4 linked regions of the Saccharomyces cerevisiae S288C genome follow. Changing the gene in region 1 together with any one later gene gives a genetic interaction. Each region holds a gene or a part of one and is shown on either strand. Other genes may lie near its edges. The genes, in order: PMR1, BIG1, RUD3 and RAD27.

Region 1 (7,482 bases):
ACATGTACTTATAAAACAAAAACAAAAAGTAGAATTCGATCGTCGGGGGGTCATTACATATTTATTTTAAATGATGGGCATGGTTATATATATTTAGACGTAATAAACAATTGAAAATTGGGGCCAAATTGGTAAATATCTCTATGTATTTCAATCAAAAAAGTATAATCGTATAACTTAAGGGTAAAAAAAGTTGAGCGATGTCATATTATACTTGTGCTAGCTTTTAAATTTTTCATTATCTTCAGTTTTATCGTGGTAAAGTGCCAGCCGAAACTGCCAAAAAAGATTATGGCAAGAAAATCTCACGCTGTCAGGGAAATAAAAATCTGATACAGTTTCACACTCTCAGAAGGATTAACTTTAACTATTACCTAACACCAATATCTGAAGAGAATGGATGAAATTCTTGCCAAAGCAGGTTCACAAGCCGTTACATTTGCTATAAAATCCGGAATATCGATAGCATCCACATATGCGCTAAAGACAATAACGAACTTTGTCGTCCAGATTCCTAAGGATGATGCTAGAAGAATAGATCAACTGAAATTTAAACTGGAAAGCCGCATGGCTATTGTATCCAGTGCAATTGACCTAATAAAGCTGGTAGCGGCGAGGGGAAACACGAATTTGCAAATCACTCTGAGGTTAACCAAGGATTTAAAAGAAGAGATTGATAGGTTTGATGAGAAGATCAACGAAATGACGCAGAAAGTTGAGGGTTCCAGGAGCGCAAAAACACAGAATGAAGCTATTAAAGCGGTAGAAAACTATATAAAGGACTTGCTATTGAGGATCGAAGAAATCACTCCATTCATTAATCTTTCTTTAACCACTTCTGGTGCCAACTTGAACAGCGCACTCCCATATCAACTTTCTCCTGGTTTATTATTAAAAGCCTCCGATTTCGTTAGCGAGAACAATAGAAAGTATGAAAAGGCAATGAAGAGTAATGAGAAAGGAACAGGTGACAAGGAGATTCTAAAAGTTCAAGTGGGGCCTACATTTGAGGTTACACTATTCTCTATTTTCTATAACCTAACTTCAGAAAACAATGGGCAATCAGGAATTGTTTGGAAAGAGGATATGAAACGTGCAAAAGCAAGGATATATAGATTGAACTCTACAGGCAGAAAGTATGATTATTTTATGAAAATAGAACAAGACTTCAATGACGGTAGATATCATGAGGATGATGACAAAGAAGACACACCACAGGAACTTGCCATAGATCTGAACCATATTAAGAAGCTGTTTTTCAGTGTTTCCGGTAAGCTTCTCCGATTAGAAGAACAGGATTCTCCAGTGTTGGTATTGAAGATTGACCGGAGCGATGACAAAGAAAATGAGAGCAGTGAAGGAGACAAGGGATTACTCGATGACATTACTTGGTATGCGGTAAGCGGATATGAAGCGATAGAGGAAGATGAAGAGGAAGATGAAGAGGAGGACGAAGAGGAAGGAAAAGACGGAGAAGAACGAAAGGAAGAAGAAGAAGAAGAAAATAAATTGGAGGACAAGGATTCGTCGATCACACTACTGGAGTACATCATTCGGCTGACGTCCTTACAAAGTAACGATCAGAAAAGTATATTGGAAGTGAGTGATGAAAGGTTATCTATATATTTGAACGATGAAAATACGAACTCCAGAAAGGATAGAATAAGCAATTCGACAATTGAAGAGACAGAAAAAAAGTTAAAAAACCTAAAACTTTAGGATGGTTACGTATCCTGTGCAGCCTTGGACAAATTTTATAATTGTATATATCTATGTATATGTATACGAATGGAAAAATTTATCCGAATCTCGGCCCGACTGCCAGCTTGCCGGGAGAACAAACAACCGCCAATATATGTATATGTATATTTATATAGATGTCCAGATGCATTATTGTGAATGTGAGTTATGCGAAGATACTTGTTTGTATAGCTCGTTCAACTCATTGATGGAGAATGGAATGTCAATATCGTTTAGTGCTGTGTTCGTAGTTGTATATGCGCTTCCTGTTTCATTGATACTAACAGGTTCCATAGATATACTAGGGCTTTGCTCAAGCGGATCGAGGGAAGCCAAATCAAGATTGTCAATGCTGTCGGCCTTAATTTCTCCGTTTTGCAGAGGTGGCTTCAAACTCGGCAATGTGGTTGTCATGTCTACATCCGACGAGCGACCATTTAGGCCCAAAAGAACGTCCAGATCTGCAATACCGAGACCATTGACATGCGCTGCTTCATCATTTGCCCTTCTGTGGCATGACCCTCCCTTTGATTTCCGGCTGCTTTTCCTCTTGGTATGACATTTACAAGGTTCACCCTCATCACAACGACATCGTGTTTCATCTTCCTTGCTGCCAACAGCTGGCCGTCGTGCAGAGGCACACATGCACCCACCGGATGGGTTGAAGTTCTTGGTTCTTCTCAGCTCTTTACAATGGCCACATGTGGTCGATGGTCTTCCCTTGCGTCTGATCATCTGTAGCGGACCATCAGTGTGAGTACACTGCGCCGCCCTGTGACCCCTGATACACGTTTCACAGGCATATTTGACCCCGTTAATTACGACCATTCTGTGAATACACTGATTATCAGTCCTCTTTTATCAAGCCGCCGTCTAATAAATTACATCGCCATGGCTACTGCTATTTCGTCCACAGCTTAATACTTACCGAACCAGGCCTTGCGGCTCTTACCCTGCGTGCCCGCGCACCCTGGCGACTTCGCCTCGTTTTGGCGATTTTCTTAGCAAATATTCTTTCACGATCGTAGTGGTGGAAGGTGGGTGAAAAGAGTTGCGTTCCTAGCAAGGATCGGTTGGTATCAATTGCACGTTCAGCTCATCCCTAGATAACCACTTAACAGCAAAGCCGATCGTTAAACTTTTGTATTCTACATTCTAGTTGCATTTTTTTTTTTTTTCATTTTGTTACATCAAGACAAGATTCTCTATTTAAAGAAGTACTTTTTTTGTTAACAGTGTGGACCCTACCTATCGTTATATCGAGATCTTGTTCCCTAGGCCATCGTACACTATAGCCCTTCCTTCAAGCACTTAATAGAAAAACCTCTTTTTCTACACCATCATAATAGTGTTTGCTCGCCCCGTTCTTTCCATTCCCATTTATAACAATACTAGTAACTATAATAATATCCTTACGACTGGGCAAGACAAGACGAAGCAAGGCCAGCACAGACGTAAGCTTAAGTGTAAGTAAAAGATAAGATAATTATGAGTGACAATCCATTTAATGCGAGTCTTCTTGACGAGGACTCAAACCGTGAGAGAGAAATACTAGATGCCACAGCAGAGGCCCTTTCGAAACCAAGCCCTTCTTTAGAGTATTGTACTTTATCCGTGGACGAAGCTCTAGAAAAACTGGACACTGACAAAAACGGTGGTTTACGATCATCTAACGAGGCCAACAATAGGAGATCACTTTATGGCCCCAATGAAATAACCGTAGAAGATGATGAAAGTCTTTTCAAGAAGTTCTTGTCAAATTTCATTGAGGATCGAATGATTCTACTTTTAATAGGATCCGCAGTGGTCTCTCTTTTTATGGGTAACATTGATGATGCTGTTAGTATCACACTGGCCATTTTCATAGTTGTCACTGTCGGTTTTGTCCAAGAATATAGGTCTGAAAAATCTCTAGAAGCGTTGAATAAATTGGTTCCTGCTGAATGTCACTTAATGAGATGTGGTCAAGAGAGTCATGTACTGGCTTCCACCTTGGTTCCTGGTGATTTAGTGCACTTCAGAATAGGTGACAGAATCCCCGCAGACATTAGAATTATTGAAGCAATCGATTTATCCATCGATGAAAGTAATTTAACTGGTGAAAATGAACCGGTACATAAAACCTCACAAACGATCGAAAAATCTTCCTTTAACGATCAGCCTAATTCAATTGTACCGATTTCTGAGAGATCTTGTATAGCTTATATGGGTACATTAGTCAAGGAAGGTCATGGTAAGGGTATCGTCGTAGGAACAGGTACAAACACATCCTTTGGTGCCGTTTTTGAAATGATGAATAATATTGAAAAACCGAAGACTCCATTGCAGTTAACAATGGACAAATTGGGAAAGGACTTGTCACTGGTTAGCTTCATAGTTATTGGTATGATTTGTTTAGTTGGTATCATACAAGGTAGATCTTGGTTAGAAATGTTCCAAATATCGGTATCCTTAGCGGTTGCTGCTATTCCAGAAGGGTTACCAATTATTGTCACTGTTACTTTGGCATTGGGTGTTCTGAGAATGGCCAAGCGTAAAGCCATCGTGAGAAGGTTACCAAGTGTCGAAACTTTAGGCTCTGTCAACGTTATCTGCTCCGACAAAACAGGTACACTAACCTCAAACCACATGACCGTATCTAAACTTTGGTGCTTGGACAGTATGTCCAATAAGCTAAACGTCCTCTCATTAGACAAAAATAAGAAGACTAAAAATTCTAATGGAAATTTGAAAAACTATTTGACTGAAGACGTTAGGGAAACTCTAACTATCGGTAATCTCTGTAATAATGCATCTTTCTCTCAAGAACATGCCATATTTCTGGGAAATCCTACTGATGTAGCTCTTTTAGAGCAATTGGCAAACTTTGAAATGCCTGATATCAGAAACACCGTTCAAAAAGTTCAGGAACTTCCATTTAACTCGAAAAGAAAATTAATGGCAACCAAGATTCTCAACCCTGTCGACAATAAGTGTACAGTTTATGTTAAAGGTGCATTTGAAAGAATTCTTGAGTACTCCACAAGTTATTTGAAATCAAAGGGTAAAAAAACTGAAAAGTTGACTGAAGCCCAAAAAGCTACGATAAATGAGTGCGCAAATTCTATGGCATCTGAAGGTTTGCGTGTCTTTGGATTTGCTAAACTAACTTTGTCTGATTCATCAACTCCTCTAACCGAAGACCTAATCAAAGATTTAACCTTTACTGGTTTAATCGGTATGAATGACCCACCAAGACCGAACGTTAAATTTGCCATCGAACAATTACTACAAGGTGGTGTCCATATTATTATGATCACTGGTGATTCTGAGAATACCGCAGTAAACATTGCAAAACAAATTGGTATTCCAGTTATTGATCCAAAGCTTTCCGTTTTATCCGGTGATAAATTAGATGAAATGTCAGATGATCAACTGGCCAATGTCATCGACCACGTTAATATTTTTGCTCGTGCTACGCCTGAGCATAAGTTAAACATTGTTCGTGCATTAAGAAAGAGGGGTGATGTGGTAGCAATGACTGGTGATGGTGTTAACGACGCTCCTGCGTTGAAACTTTCAGATATTGGTGTTTCTATGGGTAGAATTGGTACAGATGTAGCCAAAGAAGCCTCAGATATGGTCTTAACTGATGATGACTTCAGTACTATTTTAACTGCCATTGAAGAGGGTAAAGGTATCTTTAATAATATTCAGAATTTCCTGACTTTTCAATTGTCTACTTCTGTTGCCGCACTATCATTAGTTGCACTATCTACAGCGTTTAAACTACCCAATCCACTGAACGCAATGCAAATTCTTTGGATAAATATTTTAATGGATGGGCCACCAGCTCAATCCTTAGGTGTGGAACCTGTTGATCATGAAGTTATGAAAAAACCTCCAAGAAAACGTACCGATAAAATTTTGACCCATGATGTAATGAAACGTTTACTAACCACCGCGGCCTGTATCATCGTTGGGACAGTTTACATTTTTGTTAAAGAGATGGCCGAAGATGGTAAAGTAACTGCTAGAGATACTACTATGACATTTACTTGTTTTGTTTTTTTTGATATGTTTAATGCTTTGGCCTGCAGACATAACACAAAGTCAATCTTCGAAATCGGCTTTTTCACGAACAAAATGTTCAACTACGCCGTTGGACTGTCTCTGTTAGGTCAAATGTGCGCTATATATATACCATTTTTCCAAAGTATCTTTAAAACTGAGAAACTTGGTATCTCTGATATACTATTGTTATTGCTCATCAGCAGTAGCGTTTTCATCGTTGATGAATTGAGAAAATTGTGGACGAGGAAAAAGAATGAAGAAGACTCAACGTATTTCTCAAATGTTTGATATGTCACATTTTGTGCTTTTATCGTTTTTCCTTCCTTCCCTTTATCTTTCATGAGGACGCCCAACCCTATTGAGGTAAATGTACTAATTAATGGGAACATATGTAGATGTATATATGTACATATATTTACAACGGATACTAAGATAAACATGTATGGGCGACTTTTCGTATATACAAAGCAATATAAAATTTTATTCTTTCCTTCTTTTTCCGGACTAGATATAAAATCTCCGTAATCAGTGGTTATGATTTTCAAAAGTTAATCACAGTTTTATTTAAAACTGTATACAATTATTTGCAGCCGCCTTTCGCAATCTGTTCATAACAGCTAATCCTTCTCCTTCCTCATTTATACCTTCGACAAATATTAGGTCTACTTTATCATTTTCATCCACTTTTCTTAAAGCTGCAAACAAGTTAGTCTGTATTTCTTCACCAGATTGGCCAAGTCTTTCGATGATGAAAGTTTTCGAAGAAAAATCGGGTTCATTAAAGATCTTAGATTGTAAGTCGGAATCACGTAATTTTAGGGAAGTTAAAATCGCAATTTTTTTTATATTACTGTTGGCTTTTAATTCCGTTTCGATTAACCTCTTTAATCTTTCCATCCTATCAACGCCCTTAAGAATGCCATCGCCTTCGCAATGAGGAACTAGTAAAACAACTTTAGCTGAAGGGGAATAGTGTCTATACTTCATACCAGGCGTTCTTACCTTTTCGCCCTTTTCAACTGTTTTCTTATTCTCAACTTTACAAAGAGACCAAGCTTCACCACCCAATTTAACAATTTCTTCATATGTAAAACCGCCAGGTCGCAGTAGCGTAGGAGGATTACATAACCCATCAACAACAGTACTTTCTACACCAACCTTGCACGCTCCGCCATCAAGAATTATGGGAATTTTATCCTTTAGATCATGATAAACATGAGACGCTAAAGTAGGAGATGGCCTAGTAGACGCATTCGCTGAAGGAGCAGCTATTGGTGTATCGCTCAGGGCAATCAGTGCTCTAGCCACTGGATTAGCGGGTATGCGTACCGCAAACGTAGGCTGATCTGCGGTCGTTAACTTTGATAATGCACTATGCTCTGAAGATGGAACTGGCAAAAGAATTGTTAATGGGCCAGGCCAAAGGCTTGAAATTAATGGGCGATAGATTGAGGGTATGTTATCAAACAAGGATGTACCTGATAGATGCGGTTGATTAAAGACCTTTCTGTTAAGTTGATCAATGGATGAAACATGTGTAATCAAAGGATTGTCACTAGGCCTATTTTTGGCCCTGTATATACTAAGCACTGAATTATCATTTAAAGCAGAACCTCCAAGACCATAAACAGTTTCGGTTGGAAAAGCCACAGTCTCATCTGTATCTCTTATTATCCTCGCCGCTTCAAC
Region 2 (5,788 bases), on another chromosome or scaffold:
ATGAGCCAAGAATATTCAATGGGTGTTCCGAGGCAGAAGAGTTCTTCCTGTTAGAAATGCTTTGACTTCTCTTGATCTTGCCCCCAAAATCAATGTGTTTCTCACTAATTGGAGTCATTGAGACAGGGATGTTGGACGCACTGCTTGTGTTAAATCCAAATTGATTAATATTTTCGTTCGTGGATATGCCAGCGCTCCCCGGCATGCCATTGTTATTCTGTGAGGTTGCTGTATTTGGATCAAGAAGTTTATTTCTCACAACAGGTGTAGGTAGTGGCATTTGTAGTTTTAAGTTTGGGTTGTTGCGTTTAAAGTCACCATTGACCCTTGAGCCTTCCTTTTCGTTGGAAAAGTAGTTTGATGAGGTTAAATTATTGCTGCTATTACCACTAATAGTGTTAAGTGTAGAAGAACTAGGTATGCTGTTCAGAGGTTGCAAGAGAATGTCCTTGTTATCTTTGCTATTGGCCATTGGTTTCATCGTAGGAGGAGGCGCGAGGTTCGTGTGAGTAGAATTATGACCAATGTTTTGGGTTGGGGAACCGGCAGGCTTTCTATTGGGAGAAGTTCCAACTCCAAATAGTGGCCTTGAGGGTGAAGAAGCCTTATGAGTAGATAACTTTGTTACATTACCTGGATTGGTTATGCCCATTTGTGTGCTATTTGCAGTGTTACTACCGCTGCTTCCTCTTGAGTTCTCACTATCAGTGTTGTTGTTATAGTTATTACTGTTGTTCGGAGTGGAGCTGATTCCGGAATTAGAAGCAACTGCGGACCCCAATTTTTGATTTGTTATGGTGCTTGGGCAATGTTCTGGCCTATTGTTACTGACTGTCAACCGCCTGGGCACGTTTGAAGGTGATTTATATTGTATTGAGCTAGATGACGAAGGAGTGCCAGCCGTCACTGTAGATGACCTGGCCTTTGTGCTTGGTATTAAAACCGGATCTGCGCTCGCAGGCGTTGGTAGAGCACTATTCGGTAGTTCTTCAGGAATTTCTATTTCAATAGACGTTGGAGCAGTAGTTAATCCACTTGTTGGAGGGCCCTTTGACGTCTTGTTAAATTTTGTTTGGAGTAGCGGCAAAGCAGGTGTACTCTGGCTATAATAATTGTTCCCACTGGATAAAGGTGGAAGGTGTGGTCGCATTTTATTATTATTGATATTTCCGTTGACCTCGTTGGATATTGAGGGAATGAAATCATCTCGTGAACTATTACCAGCATTTAGAGATGAAATGGATTTGCTTATTTTAGGAGCTTCTGTATTGACATCATTTTCAGCAGTAATAATTTCATTGTCTTCAAAAAGTTCAAGTAATTGTTTTGGAGCCTTACTTTCCAGCCTCTTAGATGATGTCATTGGACCGGCCGTATGTGTTCCAGAGGTGTTTGTAGTTCCAGCTACCATTTTGGAAGGGTATTTTGAGTTCGTATAGTTATTTGTTACTGGTGCATTCAAAGTAGAATTTTGAGCTATTGTACCAGGATAGCCCTTTCCTATCGTTGTCCCTTGATAAACAAAGGGTCTAGTATTATGACTTGTAGGGTCAAAGTAATAAGAATCTTCGTCAGGGTATGCATAGTTGAACAGGTCATGTTGGGCAGTAGCCCACTCGTTGTTGTCCTCAGCCAAAGCATCGAGGTTGATATTATTTTCAATAATATAATCCGACGAACTCAATGAATCAAAATCCCATTTCATTTCCACATCGCCTTCGTTCACTCTCTTAATTTCATTATCATTTGATGCTATTGACTTTTGTGCTTCATCACCCCCGCCATTTTGTGATGGTTTTGGAGCTTCACTGGGTTTTGATGGCTCATTTTCCGGTATACTGCCCTCTATTTTATATTTGTTTTTATTCTTGTCCCTAAATAGTAGATATCGTGATATTAGTTCTTTCAAAATGGACGTTGGCGTCGCCTTGTGGGCCCTGATAAATTTTGATTTTAAAAGATCGTCTGCTGACAATCTCTCCTTTGGATCCTCATCAAGACAAAGCGCAATAAATTCTTTCAAAGATGTACTGTATGATCTGTCCTCAAGCCTCGGTGGTTTCGATTTGATGATTAGTTGCATTGCCCTTAGGGCCTCCACATCGCAGTATGGCGGATTTCCGGTGGCAATCTCGTACGTTGTAATACCTAAAGACCATATATCTACTTTAGTGTCGTAATAAACGCCTTCCATGATCACTTCTGGAGCCATCCAGTAGGGGGTCCCAGCCATAGTTTGACGTCGTAAAGAAGTTTGGTTTACTTGTGCAGCGACACCAAAATCGCATAGTTTAACATTACCTTCGTTAGTGATCAGAACGTTTGCTGCTTTGATATCTCGATGAATGACGTTATCTTTATGAATGCATTTTAATGCTACAAGCAGTTCTCTCATAATAACCCCAATGTACTTTTCATCGATTTTGCCTGGCCTTAACAACGAACGCAGTGAACCACCAGCGCAGTGTTCCATTATGATCCAAAGGCTTGTGTCTTTCAAATACGACCCATAATACCGCGTGATATTGGAAATCTGTTTCAAGGAGGCCAAAAACTGAATTTCTCGCTGCACATCCTCCACCTCGTCAGAATCAGAATCTAAATTTAAGACTTTGATAGCATACACTCGTCCAGTCTTCACGTTATAGCCCTTATAAACCACACCAAATTTCCCTCGCCCAATAACTTCCGTTCTCTTGAAAAGTGAACTCACATCCATCTCTCCTTCGGCTAAACCCTGCTTACTATTTTGTGGCTTCGTCGTCATTACTGCCTGTTCTCTATACGTGTTTTGCTTGCCAGTCGATGGCGCCCAAATTTATACTTTTTGTTTCTTTATCTGTGTACTGTTAAAAGTAGTACTGTTAAAAGTAGTAAGCTCCTTAGAAAGCGGTTCCGCCTAATAGTTCCTAACTTGTTGTATGTGGCTTCACGTAGGACGAGTTGCCTCTGTTCTTCTTTGACTTTTGCCACGTCGGCAAGCTGCTGCTCTTGTTGATGCCTTTAAAGATTGTCAGATCGGCCTGAGATCGACGTGTGGCATGATAATGTTGCTCGATGGGCTGTAAATAGATAAGAAAGAGTGAAACGAATAGAGTAACGAGGCCACAGATGTGGCGAAACCTGGGAGGATATGTTCTAACGTTATCTAGAGTTCTGATAGAGCATTGTATGCGATAGTACCGCTGACATATGTGCATTCTTTAATTATATCGATGATATCATGCAACACGGGTTAGCTCTGTAGTAATGTAAACCTCTCTTAACTACGGCCAAGAATATCAGCAGCGGAGGTTAAGTTGCAGGTTATACCTATCTGTTTTGTAGTTAGGAAACGTAGGCGCATACTAATTAGGAGTAGCAAGGCAAGATGCAAACTGTGTTGAAATATTTGTTGCTTATTATGTGTGGAAGCTTTTGTGCTTCGGAGGAATTGCAAAACCAGACCAATGTTCCTGCAATATTCTTCTCTTACAAACTGTATGTAGAACAAGAAACATTAATCTTTAGTAACTTTCATTTTTCTTACTAACTAGATGTTATACACATATTTGTACTTTTGGATAGAACTCCCGGTATTTTAAAGTATCAAGAGGATTATGATAGGGCTGTGACTTTACCAAGAGACACCTTTATTGAAGCGGCTGAGAAATTCTTAGGTGTATGTAATGCTGACACTTATGTGTTTATTAATCAACCAGGCCTGAGGAAATTGGACTTCTTGGAATTTGAAACAGAGTTTGTTTCGTTACAGAGATATATAAGACGGAGTTCAACCGCGATTAAGTTCGAAAAGGTAGACCTATTGCCTCAAGATTTATACTATGATCTTGCAGAGTTTGTAAAGGAGTATTGTAACGTAGACCAGGTGTTGAACTTACGAGGTAATAATACAGAAGATTTCCAGCCCTTTATTGATAGCGAAAAAAGAGTGATTATAATAGAGTACCCTAAGTTACCAGAGGACACTAATGAACGTAAAGAAGCATTCCGCCATTATGACAAGTATTTGAGGACTATACTGGCGCAGATTCCGTCGCCAGAACAAAATGTCATTTACACCTCGTTAAACCCAGGAACTACGCTGGCTCACGAGTCGATCATCCCTATCCAAATATTTCCAGATATCTTTGACATAAAATCCAGAGTGGGTGAAGTGGAACAAAATAATAGAGTTTTGGATGTGCCTCGTCTGTCGTTTAATGACTATACTCCACGATTTTCAGAGCCACCTTCGGAGTATGTCTCAATATTTGATTCACAATTAATTGAGAATAACAGAGGTTTATTACAGCTGATTTTCACAATTTTGGTTGGGTATATTCTTATTCAGTTTTTTTTCACAAAAAAAACTATTGTAGATGAGAAGATTACTAATAAAAAGGACAACGTGAAACAGACGTCACCACAACTGCTCAAAAAAGTGCAAGAGATCCAGAAAAAGCCATCCCAGCAAGTATCTTGATTATGGTTCGTTATATACATCGATTCTTTGCAAAATTATCCATGAGAGACTTCGCGCCATGCTACAATTTACCAATGCGCATCGAGAAATTTATGCTATCGCATTTAATATGATATAATTATCCGTCTGTTTATATATATATATATATGGGGCCAAACTGAAAGGCGGCAGTTACATTACATCGTCTCCTCTACCTAGTCATGAACATCAGTGGCACCTTAAATACGCTCCGGTTGCTTTATAACCCATCACTGTGTAAGCCTAGTCTAGTTGTCCCCACTTTTAACGATCTTCCTATACCAATCCACGATTCTATAAAGGCCGTGGTCTTGGATAAGGACAACTGCATCGCCTTCCCTCATGATGACAAAATATGGCCAGATTACTTGCAACACTGGGAAACCTTAAGGTCGAAATACTCTAACAAAGCACTCTTGATTGTTAGCAATACCGCCGGTTCCAATTCTGATAAGGACTATTCGCAAGCAAAACTTTTGGAAGATAAGACAGGTATACCTGTTTTGCGGCACTCTACAAAGAAACCAGGTTGTCACAACGAAATATTAGATTATTTTTATAGAAACAAAACCATAACAAATCCAAAAGAGGTTGCTGTTGTTGGAGATAGGCTTTTTACTGACATCTTGATGGCAAACCTAATGGGTTCATACGGGGTGTGGATTCGAGATGGTGTTAAAGTTTCGGCAAATCCTCTCTCCAAGTTCGAAAAAAAATTATACAACTTTTTGGGATTTTGATTAGGCAACTTTAATAAAAAGTAAAACATTTTAATTTTTTATATAGTACATATTTTTTGAGGCTTTCTCTACCTTCATTAAATACAGAGAAAAGGCCGGAAACTAACCCATGTATCAGCTCTAGAACCATGGCATGAAGTTCACGTCTGTTCTTGCTAAGTTTCTTGGACTGACAGCGCTGCCAATACAGTCTAGGATGAACTGGGTTGTGACTGTAGGTGTTGAATTCAAATGGCCCAATTGTGCCACCTTTCTAATAATTAGGTCAACGTTGGTTTGAACCATCTCACGTAACTGTGGATTTTCAATGATTGGCCGGTGAAGGTTGCTAAACCATGATATGATCTCGTCACGGATGAATAGGGCCAAGTATGTGTTCAGTTCATTATCAGGTTCAATTAATGCACGTGATATGGTAAATAAATTTACCGCAAATATACCTTCTAAAGCAGAATCACCTATCAAAGATTGAATATTAGGCGTCAGTCTGAATGGAACTGGTTCATTATTATGAAATATCGGAGAATCTGGTGGAAGACTTAAGTCATGATTCTTTAGCAATGGT
Region 3 (5,896 bases), on another chromosome or scaffold:
ATACTCTATCGAATGGTCTCATTTTTGGTAAATTACGTTCATTACAAATTAGAATCAATGGAGTTGACGTCTTACGACAAAACTGTGCCAGCTGGCCAACTCCCCCCCTATCGCCTCCGCTCATACCATCAACTTCATCCATGATAATGACAAAATGTTTCCCGTTCAAATTTTGAGCTTCTTCGTTGTGTTTGAAATATCCCACTACAGACATGTTATCAAGAGCGTTTTTAACACCGGCATTAAGTAAAGTTTTAGAGCGAACATCAGAAGCGTTTTGTTCAAGAATGTCATACCCAAGCTCTTGTGCAACTAAATGAGCAGCAGTTGTCTTCCCAATACCAGGAGGACCGTATAACATTGCAGCCCTGAAAACACCAGAGCCATCTTTACCAGCATGTTTAAAACTATTTTTCTTTGAATTTTCCCAATTAGCCAACCAGTTTTTTAATTTCATTACACTTCCTTTGTTACCACAGACCTGTTGTAGATTCGTTGGTGCGTACTTTACTGTCCACAATTTATCTTCTTCCCTAACCACATTGTCTCTCTCCAGATGGCCACCAGAAACTCTAGTGGCTGCAAGCTTCTTCGACCTTTCCTCTTCTTTCTTAACAAGCAATTCTGCTTCTTTGGTAGCAATATTATGCTGTTCTTCTAATTTTCGACGTGCTTTTTCGGCAGCTTCCCCGTCACCACCTTCAGCAGGCATCCCAGCAATTAATTGCTTAAAGCCTTCTTCGTCTATGGCTTTGATTTTCAATTGCTTGATTTTTTCTAGTTTCTTTGGCCCTGCTTCATCACCTAAGACTACTACAGAAGTTTTGCTTGAAATTGATTTAGTAACCCTTGCTCCGTATCTTTTCGCTAAAGCTTCCGATGCACCACGCTCCAAGGTTGGCAGAACACCTGTGAAGACAATTGTTAGACCTAATAAACAATTTGGCTTTCCTTCTGGAAAACTACCTATTTCAGAAACAATTTCATCTGGATCCGCATTTGAATTTGCGCTTTTGAAATCAAATTTAGCATTCTCTTTCACATGAACATTTGACAGATCCAAGGATGGAATCTTATCTAGTACATCTTGAGCCGTAATATTCGAAGCCGAGTCTGAACTTTTAGAGGAGGGTTTGGTTTTTTTTGAACTTGCTGGCTTTACAGTTGGTGAAGAGGCCTTCCTCTTAGCGGGAAGAGGTAGCTTTTTTTCTCCTTCAGGTGTCTCTGATACATCAATTACATTACTTACAGGCATCTTCTTTGGTGTTTTATTGGTTGATTCTTGGTCAGATTCAGTATCTAAGTCGATAACTTCTGGTTTAGACGAACCCACCTGTCTCGTAGGTCTGGATGTTGACGATCTTACGGATTTCTTATTTTTACCAAAGAAATCAGAAATATTGACCATTTTCTTCAGCTTAGTTTATTATGAAGTGACTTGAAGTTATAAAATTAACTGCGAGATACCCAATTCCTTATTGTGTAAGGATCAAGCAGCGTATTCAACGAAGCCACTGTTTTCGCTGAGAGATCGGCTGTTCCTTCTCATGTTGATTTTTTTTTCAGTACTTCTTTTTGAATTTCGTGCTCATTTCGATACGAAAAATGGAAACAAACAGAAAGACCATTCATGAAGAACAAGAAAATCTTGTATAAACAGCTATATAGTAGATGCTTGTGTATACTTTCCACTTGATCCCCTCAAACAATTGCATTTTTTTTAATTAGAATGGGTAAAAATAAGAAGAAAACAGGTAAGAAGGCCAAGAGTCATCCTCATGTGGAGGACGTTGATGAAACCGTCAATAAACCTGAAGAAATCATCAATTCTGTAAACGTCACCGTTCCTCCAAAAATGTCCACAGATCCAGAGGCTGATGGTATCGTGGCAAGCCCGGACGATGAGGGGAAAGATCTCTCTGAAGGAGTAGACAAACAAAAAGTAAATGACGGCCTGACTGTAGACACCATAAATCCTTTAGAGGACAAAAAGGCTGGTGATGAGATGAAGGAACTAAGGGAAGAAATTGAACGTTTAAAATTGGAACTAAGCCACAAGAAGGATCAAGAAACGCCTAATGAAGACTTCAAAAATGAACTAGCAAATGTTATTAAGGAAAGAGACGAATTCAAAACACAGTATGACACATTATTGAGCAAGATATCTTCTATGAAATCAATTTTTAATAAGATGAAAGAAGCACAAAAACAATTAGAGGAAGTGCAGGAGCAGCTTACTGAATATGAATCACAAAATCTGAAATTGAAGAAGAAACTTGAAGCTACCAAGACCGAAAACTCTGAATTACAATCCACGATTGTGACCCTAAATACAGAGTTAGAAAACCTAGAAAAGGAGCAAGAAAGTACAGAAGAGGTTTTTTTGGAATACGAATCAAGGATAGAAGCTTTGGAAGATGAAAAACACGACATAATTGAAAAACATAGTAAGGAACTTAACACTTACAGGAAGGAAAAAGATCAATTAAATCTCCAAGTTCAGGAACTCATGATAATCTTAGAAAATAATAAACAAGATATATCTGACTTGAGAACAGAAAGAGATGAATTGAGACAGGCTTTGGAATCCCATGAAAAGGAGAAAGCAGTATTAAAGAATTCTCTAAATGATCTGGAATTGAAGATAGAAGAAGTTGACAACAAAAGGGAAGAAGAGGCTAGAGAGAGAGACCAGGAAGTCAAATCTTTACGATCCCAACTTGACACGGAGATAGAAACGCACAACAATGACACAGAAGCTTTAGAAAGCATGAAAAAACAGCTAGAAGCCATGAAGGAGGACGCCTCTATGAAGGAAAAATATGAGGAAGAATCTAAGCAGCACATCTTACAGATCGGAAAACTACGTCACGAAGCCATTATACTAAATGAGCATTTAACAAAGGCACTGGCCATGTTGAAGAAATCAAGCGATTCTGAATCCGTTGATAAAGAACTGATATCCAATCTATTGATATCTTTCGTGTCCATACCCAGAGCAGACCCAAGAAAGTTTGAAGTTCTTGAATTACTGTCCAATTTCTTAAACTGGGATGAAGATAAGAAACAACAGGCCGGCTTGATCTCGAATAATGAGTCTAAGAATTCAAGCGCTGTATCGAGAACGGAAAGCTTTGTATCGCTTTGGACCAACTACCTCGAGAAAGAGAGTGAGAAAGACTAATCGGGCAAACTAAGTCTAGTTCAGAAGAGCATACGTACTTAGTGTAGCATCACCCAATTTATACTCTATAAACGATAAATGATATAAATCACATCTACCCGGCATCTGGGACTTTTCGGGGGGAAGGACTCAAAATTAAAGGGAAGAAAAAGGATCTGCAACATTTTTTACAGAAGTAATGAACTGGAGAAAAAAGACTTTGGGATAAAGTTGGGGAATACAGCAAATAACACTATTCCAAGATGTTCAGACAATCAATTAGGCCACTTGTTTCAAATAGACTAACCTTCATTCGTTATAACAGTTCTCCAGCCTACACGGCTGCAGTCAGCCTATTGAAAGGAGATTTGAAAAAGGCTATGATTGCCAAGGATGAGATGAAGAAGACAGCAATCAGAAATATGTTATCTGCCATAAAAAACAAAGAAATTGCTTTAAAAGGGAAGAGCGCTGATGAGTACTCCCTGTACGACATGTACTCCAAGTTAATATCTCAAAGAAAGGACTCGATCAATGAGTTCCTTGCTAACAAGAGGGACGATCTGGTGGCCAAAGAGCAAGGTGAAATGGACATTATAAAGAAATATATGGACCAATTGCCAGTGTCTTCAGAGCTTGATATTGATCAAAATGTGAAGAAATTACTGGACGCCCTCAAAACAAAGGCAGGTGAAAAAAAAGTTCAAATTAAGGAAATCATGGGAGAAATCGACTGGAAGTCATTGCCAACAGAATGGAAGACATCTCCAACTGCCATCAAAAATAGCATTGTTAAGCAATTCAAGGAAATTTTCAAATGAGGTCCTTGTTTTCTGCGCGATGAATCACAGCCCAACCTTCAATAGTAAAAAAGAAGTAAAAATATTCGTCAAAAATTATGAAAGATACTTTGTTAATACATATCACAGTTACATATTAAAATAAAAAATTAATGCTCGCTTCCTTTCACCTTTTTTTTTTTTTTTGTGGCTACGTTTTTGTGTCCCATGGCAACCATGATATGTCTTGCTAACTGTCATTTGCCCTTTGTTTATAAAAGAGGCCGCTTTTGTATAATGTATAAATTATTCTTTTCCTGAAAGTATTTGTAGTTATCCAAGACAAAAAACCAGCAGCTAACATTGCTACACATAACTAAAGAACAACACCAAGCCAGTAACTAGCACGAAAGGAAGGAAAGTAAAGTTTTGTATCCCATTCTCTTTTTTGATCCTTATTGAAATGTTAGGATTATATCTATCCTCCCTTTTCTTCGCCTTTTTTATGGCACAAGTGTTTGCTACCAAATACTCAATTACTTTTACATCAGATGAGTATGAAGAAGATGAAACAGGACAAAATGAACCTGGTCCTTTAGTTTTCCATTTGGATAAAAACTCATTACCACCAGCTCTGCTAAATCAAATGGAGTTTAATCCATACTTAGTATTAGCAGATTTACCGGAGGAGCCGCGAGCTGTTGATTCTCAAGAACATACCGATACGGTCCTTGCTTCCAAATCTGTTATAGATTTTCTGTTGGAAGATCCTCTAACAATAGTGGAGCACAAAAAGTTTTCTCAAATTGAAAGTATTCTACATGAAATTATGGAAGACAGCATACAGAAGAAAGTCGGGGCAGACGAGGTATTTGAAGAGATTCCGAAACCGAAAATTTACGCGTATGAAGATATTTTAGTAACTAATATGAGCATCATCAATAATAGTGAAATGCCGACAAGTACTGCAACATTAACGAGCACCATTTCTTATTTATCTAGTACGACAAGTTTAGCTTTATCCACGGGTGTTACCAGCGTTGAGATTTTCCCAACAATCACCCCGGGAAATATTACAACTATTGGGGGATACGAAAATTCATCATCCTCCTTAATGCCGTCGATGGGAATCTTATCTTTTCTATTTGGTCTGTACTTGTTACTTCACCCTTAAAGTTCGGCAGTCATATAATCAAAGTTTTGATAGAGAAAGCATTTATATAACATATAAGCAAATGACCAATTAATGGTATTATTTAGTGACGTTTACAGCTGGCGCGGTCGCGTTACACGGGCAAGAAAAAATCAAAGCCACATCAATAAGTCATCACCATTAGAGAGTTGCACGACAACAAACTAGAACAGCCATGTTCGGGTGAAGAGGAAGTGCAGCAACTCAAGTTTTTCTACAGACTAAATTGTTTTTACTCTTGACTCCAAAAGCCCTTTTTTTTTTTTTTGGTGCCATATAATAGACGCTCTTTTATGGATCATTCAATAGAAGTCACTTTCAGAGTAAAAACACAACAGGTTATAATACCGGAACAAAACATCCGGGGAAATGAACTTCCCTTACGTCGGTGGCAGATGGAACTCCTCATGTTAGATGCAACAGGAAAGGAAGTGGAGCCTACCATCCTCTCTAAATGCATCTACCATTTGCACTCTAGCTTCAAACAGCCCAAAAGACGACTGAACTCGCTGCCATTTTTTATCAAGGAAACCGGTTGGGGAGAGTTTAACTTAAAAATAGAATGCTTTTTTATAGGTAACGCTGGAAAGTTTAGCATTGAACATGACTTAACGTTTGAAGATGATGCATATGCAGTTGACTATACCGTTGATGTGCCTCATGAATTCTCACATCTCAATAGTGAACTATCTAAATATTTTGATCTCCCGTGGAAAGTAGTGTCTCCGGAGGAAGAAATGTCTCTTCGTATAGCCGATTTGC
Region 4 (5,474 bases), on another chromosome or scaffold:
ATTCTGGTGTAGATTCTCTACCTCTTTCAAATGCGATGACAGTAACCTTAACTGTTCCGCCACTTCATGTGGTAGTTTGTCGTCTTCATTTCTCTCTTCCAGTGTGATATCTGACAAATGCTGTCTTTTGGACTTGTGAGCATCTTCTGAATCCATATCGTTGATCAAGTTTTCATCTACCACGTTTCTCGACGAATTGTTATGGCCATCACCATTCTTGTCATCAATGGACCTCTTATAAGAATTGATCTTGTCTATGGCTAACTGAGCAGTTTCACGAGCTTCTTGAGCGTCTACTTCAGCCAAGGTTGGGTGGACATTTTCATTACCGCCATCGTTTGATTCATCTAGGCCAACCATGGACACGTCTGAATGAGTTATTTGATCTGGCTTGCTCCATTTATTGACGCTTGGCATCTTCTTGGGTTGATACCGGTGACTAGAGGTTTTATCTAGCACACTTTCCATTAAATTTGAGGCGTCATTATTATTGTTGCCGTTATTATCGTCATTACTGTCATTCTTGTTATTATTCACATTTTTGGTTGTGTTCGATGAGGTACCCGCACTTGATATTTCCTGATGTTTGGCGTAGTCGATAGAGTTACTTCTCAAGTTCGTGCCAGAAAGCTCACCATCGTTGTTATTGTTGTTATTGGAAGATGAAGAAGGTTGTAAATCATTATACTCGCCCATTTTTTTCTTTTTCAAAACAAATCTTGCTTTATACGTCGTTATACGTCTGGCTATTTGGGAAAGTAACCTTTTTTCGAAATCTTCGGCGGTTAATCCATATCTTTGCATTAAAATGTCTAAAAGACCGGACTCCTCCACGTAATGAGAAACTTTAAATTTACTCACTGTATGGTTAGAATTATTGTAAGAGCTTTCTAGTATTTGATCAAACTTTAAATCGTTTTGTAAAATCTTTGGAATCTTAGTTAGGATAAATTTACCCAGTGACAAGTTATCTTCTAGTGGGTGACTATGATAGGGCTCAATTTTGGTAACGACAAATGGGCCCGGTATATCATCGGTAGCAGAATTGAAGACGTCTAAATTCATAGACGTGTCTCGTATGGAGGATGGTGAGTGGGAGGAAATGCCGTGGCTACCGACATTGTTGTTATTGATATTGCTGTTATTGTTGTGATCGTTATTAGTATTATTATCTTGGCCATCATTGTTGTTAGTGGCATCATCGTCTTTTCCATCGTGCTTATTGTTTGATTGAGAATCTACATTTGCGACGGCATTGGCAATGGCAACGTTGATGTCTTCATCGTTCACTACGTCAGAATAGTTTTTCGTCATTTGGGTATGGACGTCATCCTCCTCGTTGTGACGGTGGTTACCGCTGTCATTACCATGAGTAGGACCGCTCTCGTCGTCCAATCCCCGGTCAATAGAGGCCTTATTTATCGAATCATCTTCAGTGTCGTTCTTGATAGTAACACCTTGCTGTTTAAAAATGTTGTTGGCATCAGCATCATCGTCATTGTTCCCATTCACCTCATTGCTTCTCGACTCCACTTTGTCATTGGTGTCGTCCGGATGAGTGTTCGCCAGATGGTATTCAAGATCATCAGTAACGAAGTCAAGTTTACTGTCATTGCTAACCTTATTATTACTGCCATTGTTATTATCATTGTCCTCGTTGTTCATGTTGTTGCTATGATGATGAATATGATCAGGAGTACCCGGAGGGTTGGTATTATTATTTGCAGAAGGAGATGAGGTTTCTGAGGATGCAGCATTGCCAGCATAGCTTAGCAAGACTTTAAATGGACAGTTTTTCAAATGACAGGCAAATGTAAAATGTTTGTTCCTATGCGAATTCTTTAAAATAATAGGGCAACGCGTCTGAAATTCGTACTCATTAATTACATCATACCAAGCACCCAAGGTGGGAAATTTTTTGCCTCCATGGGCTCCAATGGCCAGGTCTTTATTAATTATAGGGTGCTTGTATTCATAATAATTCACGACTAATTTGTCCATCCTTGTGAAATTGCAAATATGGTGATTTGAAACGTTTCCTAGTGCAGCAGGATCACAGATAACGTGTAAAGGGCTTAGCAGTTGATAATCCTCTCTAGTTGAGATCTAAACAAAATGCTGTCACTAACCGTAGTATTAAATGACACACTTTGGTGACTTTCGTTAATGGGGATGTGGTAGTGGCCATTGCCAATAAACAAAAAGAACAGGGAAAGAAGTAGAAAGTGATATAAGTTTGCTTGCCACTTTTCGTTTTTCACGAAAAAAACAGGCGAAAAAAAATGCTAGACTAGTACCCGGCTGAATCACACCTCGTTAACAGTGACTTTCGGTGACAGATACCCGATTGGGCACCCGGCTGGTAAGTTATGATAGAAAGCCAACGCTGTACTATTGGCTTAGCTATGGCAATATTTTGATTATCAACTAGTTTTATTAACGTTATAATTAGTGTAACCAGTTTTTCATCTATTTCATTTATTTCATTTATTTACTTTAATTGCAGATCCCCCTAACGCGTTTAAAGCTTTTATTCACTAGCTTATGTATTTTTTATAGGAAACGCGACGCGTAACATCGCGCAAATGAAGGTTTTGATGTATTATAATGAGGTATTCTTCCTTATATACATCGATGAAAAGCGTTGACAGCATACATTGGAAAGAAATAGGAAACGGACACCGGAAGAAAAAATATGGGTATTAAAGGTTTGAATGCAATTATATCGGAACATGTTCCCTCTGCTATCAGGAAAAGCGATATCAAGAGCTTTTTTGGCAGAAAGGTTGCCATCGATGCCTCTATGTCTCTATATCAGTTTTTAATTGCTGTAAGACAGCAAGACGGTGGGCAGTTGACCAATGAAGCCGGTGAAACAACGTCACACTTGATGGGTATGTTTTATAGGACACTGAGAATGATTGATAACGGTATCAAGCCTTGTTATGTCTTCGACGGCAAACCTCCAGATTTGAAATCTCATGAGTTGACAAAGCGGTCTTCAAGAAGGGTGGAAACAGAAAAAAAACTGGCAGAGGCAACAACAGAATTGGAAAAGATGAAGCAAGAAAGAAGATTGGTGAAGGTCTCAAAAGAGCATAATGAAGAAGCCCAAAAATTACTAGGACTAATGGGAATCCCATATATAATAGCGCCAACGGAAGCTGAGGCTCAATGTGCTGAGTTGGCAAAGAAGGGAAAGGTGTATGCCGCAGCAAGTGAAGATATGGACACACTCTGTTATAGAACACCCTTCTTGTTGAGACATTTGACTTTTTCAGAGGCCAAGAAGGAACCGATTCACGAAATAGATACTGAATTAGTTTTGAGAGGACTCGACTTGACAATAGAGCAGTTTGTTGATCTTTGCATAATGCTTGGTTGTGACTACTGTGAAAGCATCAGAGGTGTTGGTCCAGTGACAGCCTTAAAATTGATAAAAACGCATGGATCCATCGAAAAAATCGTGGAGTTTATTGAATCTGGGGAGTCAAACAACACTAAATGGAAAATCCCAGAAGACTGGCCTTACAAACAAGCAAGAATGCTGTTTCTTGACCCTGAAGTTATAGATGGTAACGAAATAAACTTGAAATGGTCGCCACCAAAGGAGAAGGAACTTATCGAGTATTTATGTGATGATAAGAAATTCAGTGAAGAAAGAGTTAAATCTGGTATATCAAGATTGAAAAAAGGCTTGAAATCTGGCATTCAGGGTAGGTTAGATGGGTTCTTCCAAGTGGTGCCTAAGACAAAGGAACAGCTGGCTGCTGCGGCGAAAAGAGCACAAGAAAATAAAAAATTGAACAAAAATAAGAATAAAGTCACAAAGGGAAGAAGATGAGGGGGTTCTTTTTCCACTTTCTTCTTTTGGTCCTTCACCTTGGCATATATGTAACATAGATATTTGTATACACGAACTTTTTTCATCTAATACTTCTCTTTTTTTGCCAGTTTTTCTGGGAACTTGAACGTGGAATTTTTCATTCTTACCTGGTTTCTTTTTCTTCATTTCTTTACATGTTGGAAATCATTGTAAATATAAGATGACAAACTCCGAATAAGAAACACAAAACGCAACATTAATAAGCTTTTGGCATATCGGAACCATCGTAATGCCTTCGACACCTAGCTTTGTTAGATCTGCTGTCTCGAAATACAAATTTGGTGCGCACATGTCAGGTGCCGGTGGAATTTCTAATAGTGTAACTAATGCATTTAACACTGGCTGTAATTCGTTTGCCATGTTTTTAAAATCTCCAAGAAAGTGGGTTTCTCCGCAGTATACACAGGAGGAAATAGATAAATTTAAGAAAAACTGTGCAACTTACAATTATAACCCATTGACGGACGTCTTACCGCATGGCCAATACTTTATTAATTTGGCTAATCCGGATAGGGAAAAGGCAGAAAAGAGTTATGAGTCATTCATGGACGATCTGAACAGGTGTGAGCAATTAGGGATAGGCCTGTATAACTTACATCCAGGTTCTACTTTGAAAGGAGACCATCAGTTGCAGTTAAAACAACTAGCCTCATATTTGAACAAAGCAATTAAGGAAACGAAATTTGTTAAAATTGTATTAGAAAATATGGCTGGTACTGGAAATTTAGTAGGAAGTTCTCTGGTAGATTTGAAGGAGGTTATTGGAATGATTGAAGATAAATCAAGAATCGGCGTTTGCATAGATACATGCCATACATTTGCAGCAGGCTACGATATCAGCACCACTGAAACGTTTAACAATTTTTGGAAAGAGTTCAATGATGTAATAGGGTTCAAATATCTAAGTGCTGTTCACTTAAATGATTCCAAGGCTCCTTTAGGAGCAAATAGAGATTTGCATGAACGCTTGGGTCAAGGTTATTTGGGTATAGATGTGTTTAGAATGATCGCGCACTCTGAATACCTGCAGGGTATCCCTATTGTCTTGGAAACTCCATACGAAAATGATGAAGGCTATGGTAATGAAATCAAACTTATGGAGTGGTTGGAATCAAAGAGTGAGAGCGAATTGTTAGAAGACAAGGAGTATAAAGAAAAAAATGATACGCTGCAGAAATTAGGTGCTAAATCGCGTAAGGAACAGTTAGACAAGTTTGAGGTTAAACAAAAGAAGCGAGCTGGGGGCACCAAGAGGAAGAAAGCCACTGCAGAGCCAAGCGATAATGATATCTTGTCACAAATGACAAAGAAGAGGAAGACTAAGAAAGAATAATGAGAAGCGAGAAGAATTTTAAATACGTAATCAATTTTTGTAGATTATCTCAACGTACGTAACTAAATGCTACCCTTCGTCATCCAAGATGCTGTTGCCCATTTCATAGAAACTACTTACTTGGTTTATAGATGTTTCGCGTTGCGTTACAGAATAAGGCAGCCTTTTTTTTTTTTAGATTTTCATTTTTCACATACTGATGGATTAGCAGACGAAAAGGGTAAAGTTAAATACATTCCAGTAAATGAACTAAGA

What was found.
Region 2: mutations in PMR1 (region 1) and BIG1 together harm fitness more than expected from each alone (negative genetic interaction), as found in Saccharomyces cerevisiae (4 studies listed by BioGRID).
Region 3: mutations in PMR1 (region 1) and RUD3 together harm fitness more than expected from each alone (negative genetic interaction), as found in Saccharomyces cerevisiae (7 studies listed by BioGRID, with this or other methods).
Region 4: mutations in PMR1 (region 1) and RAD27 together harm fitness more than expected from each alone (negative genetic interaction), as found in Saccharomyces cerevisiae (6 studies listed by BioGRID, with this or other methods).

Annotation. Positions count from the first base shown.
Region 1 is NC_001139.9:186,215-193,696, reverse strand, and holds PMR1 (Ca(2+)/Mn(2+)-transporting P-type ATPase PMR1), read left to right. Parts: upstream 1-3,228; coding exon 3,229-6,081; downstream 6,082-7,482. Other genes in the region: YRB30 (Yrb30p), read left to right, coding at 397-1,719; CUP2 (Cup2p), read right to left, coding at 1,891-2,568; HUR1 (Hur1p), read right to left, coding at 5,901-6,233; SUA5 (threonylcarbamoyladenylate synthase), read right to left, coding at 6,358-7,482. UniProt on the Saccharomyces cerevisiae protein: This magnesium-dependent enzyme catalyzes the hydrolysis of ATP coupled with the transport of calcium. Has a role in the secretory pathway.
Region 2 is NC_001140.6:313,551-319,338, reverse strand, and holds BIG1 (Big1p), read left to right. Parts: upstream 1-3,370; coding exon 3,371-3,480; intron 3,481-3,567; coding exon 3,568-4,465; downstream 4,466-5,788. Other genes in the region: putative serine/threonine protein kinase KIC1, read right to left, coding at 1-2,767; GEP4 (phosphatidylglycerophosphatase), read left to right, coding at 4,666-5,223; histone acetyltransferase TRA1, read right to left, coding at 5,344-5,788. UniProt on the Saccharomyces cerevisiae protein: Required for normal beta-1,6-glucan synthesis.
Region 3 is NC_001147.6:744,813-750,708, reverse strand, and holds RUD3 (Rud3p), read left to right. Parts: upstream 1-1,729; coding exon 1,730-3,184; downstream 3,185-5,896. Other genes in the region: RFC1 (replication factor C subunit 1), read right to left, coding at 1-1,408; AIM41 (Aim41p), read left to right, coding at 3,427-3,984; SPR2 (Spr2p), read left to right, coding at 4,406-5,116; SAS5 (Sas5p), read left to right, coding at 5,428-5,896. UniProt on the Saccharomyces cerevisiae protein: Involved in the structural organization of the cis-Golgi and in vesicle targeting/fusion stages of ER to Golgi transport.
Region 4 is NC_001143.9:223,097-228,570, reverse strand, and holds RAD27 (multifunctional nuclease RAD27), read left to right. Parts: upstream 1-2,695; coding exon 2,696-3,844; downstream 3,845-5,474. Other genes in the region: DNA-binding protein ABF1, read right to left, coding at 1-2,001; DNA-(apurinic or apyrimidinic site) lyase APN1, read left to right, coding at 4,116-5,219. UniProt on the Saccharomyces cerevisiae protein: Structure-specific nuclease with 5'-flap endonuclease and 5'-3' exonuclease activities involved in DNA replication and repair.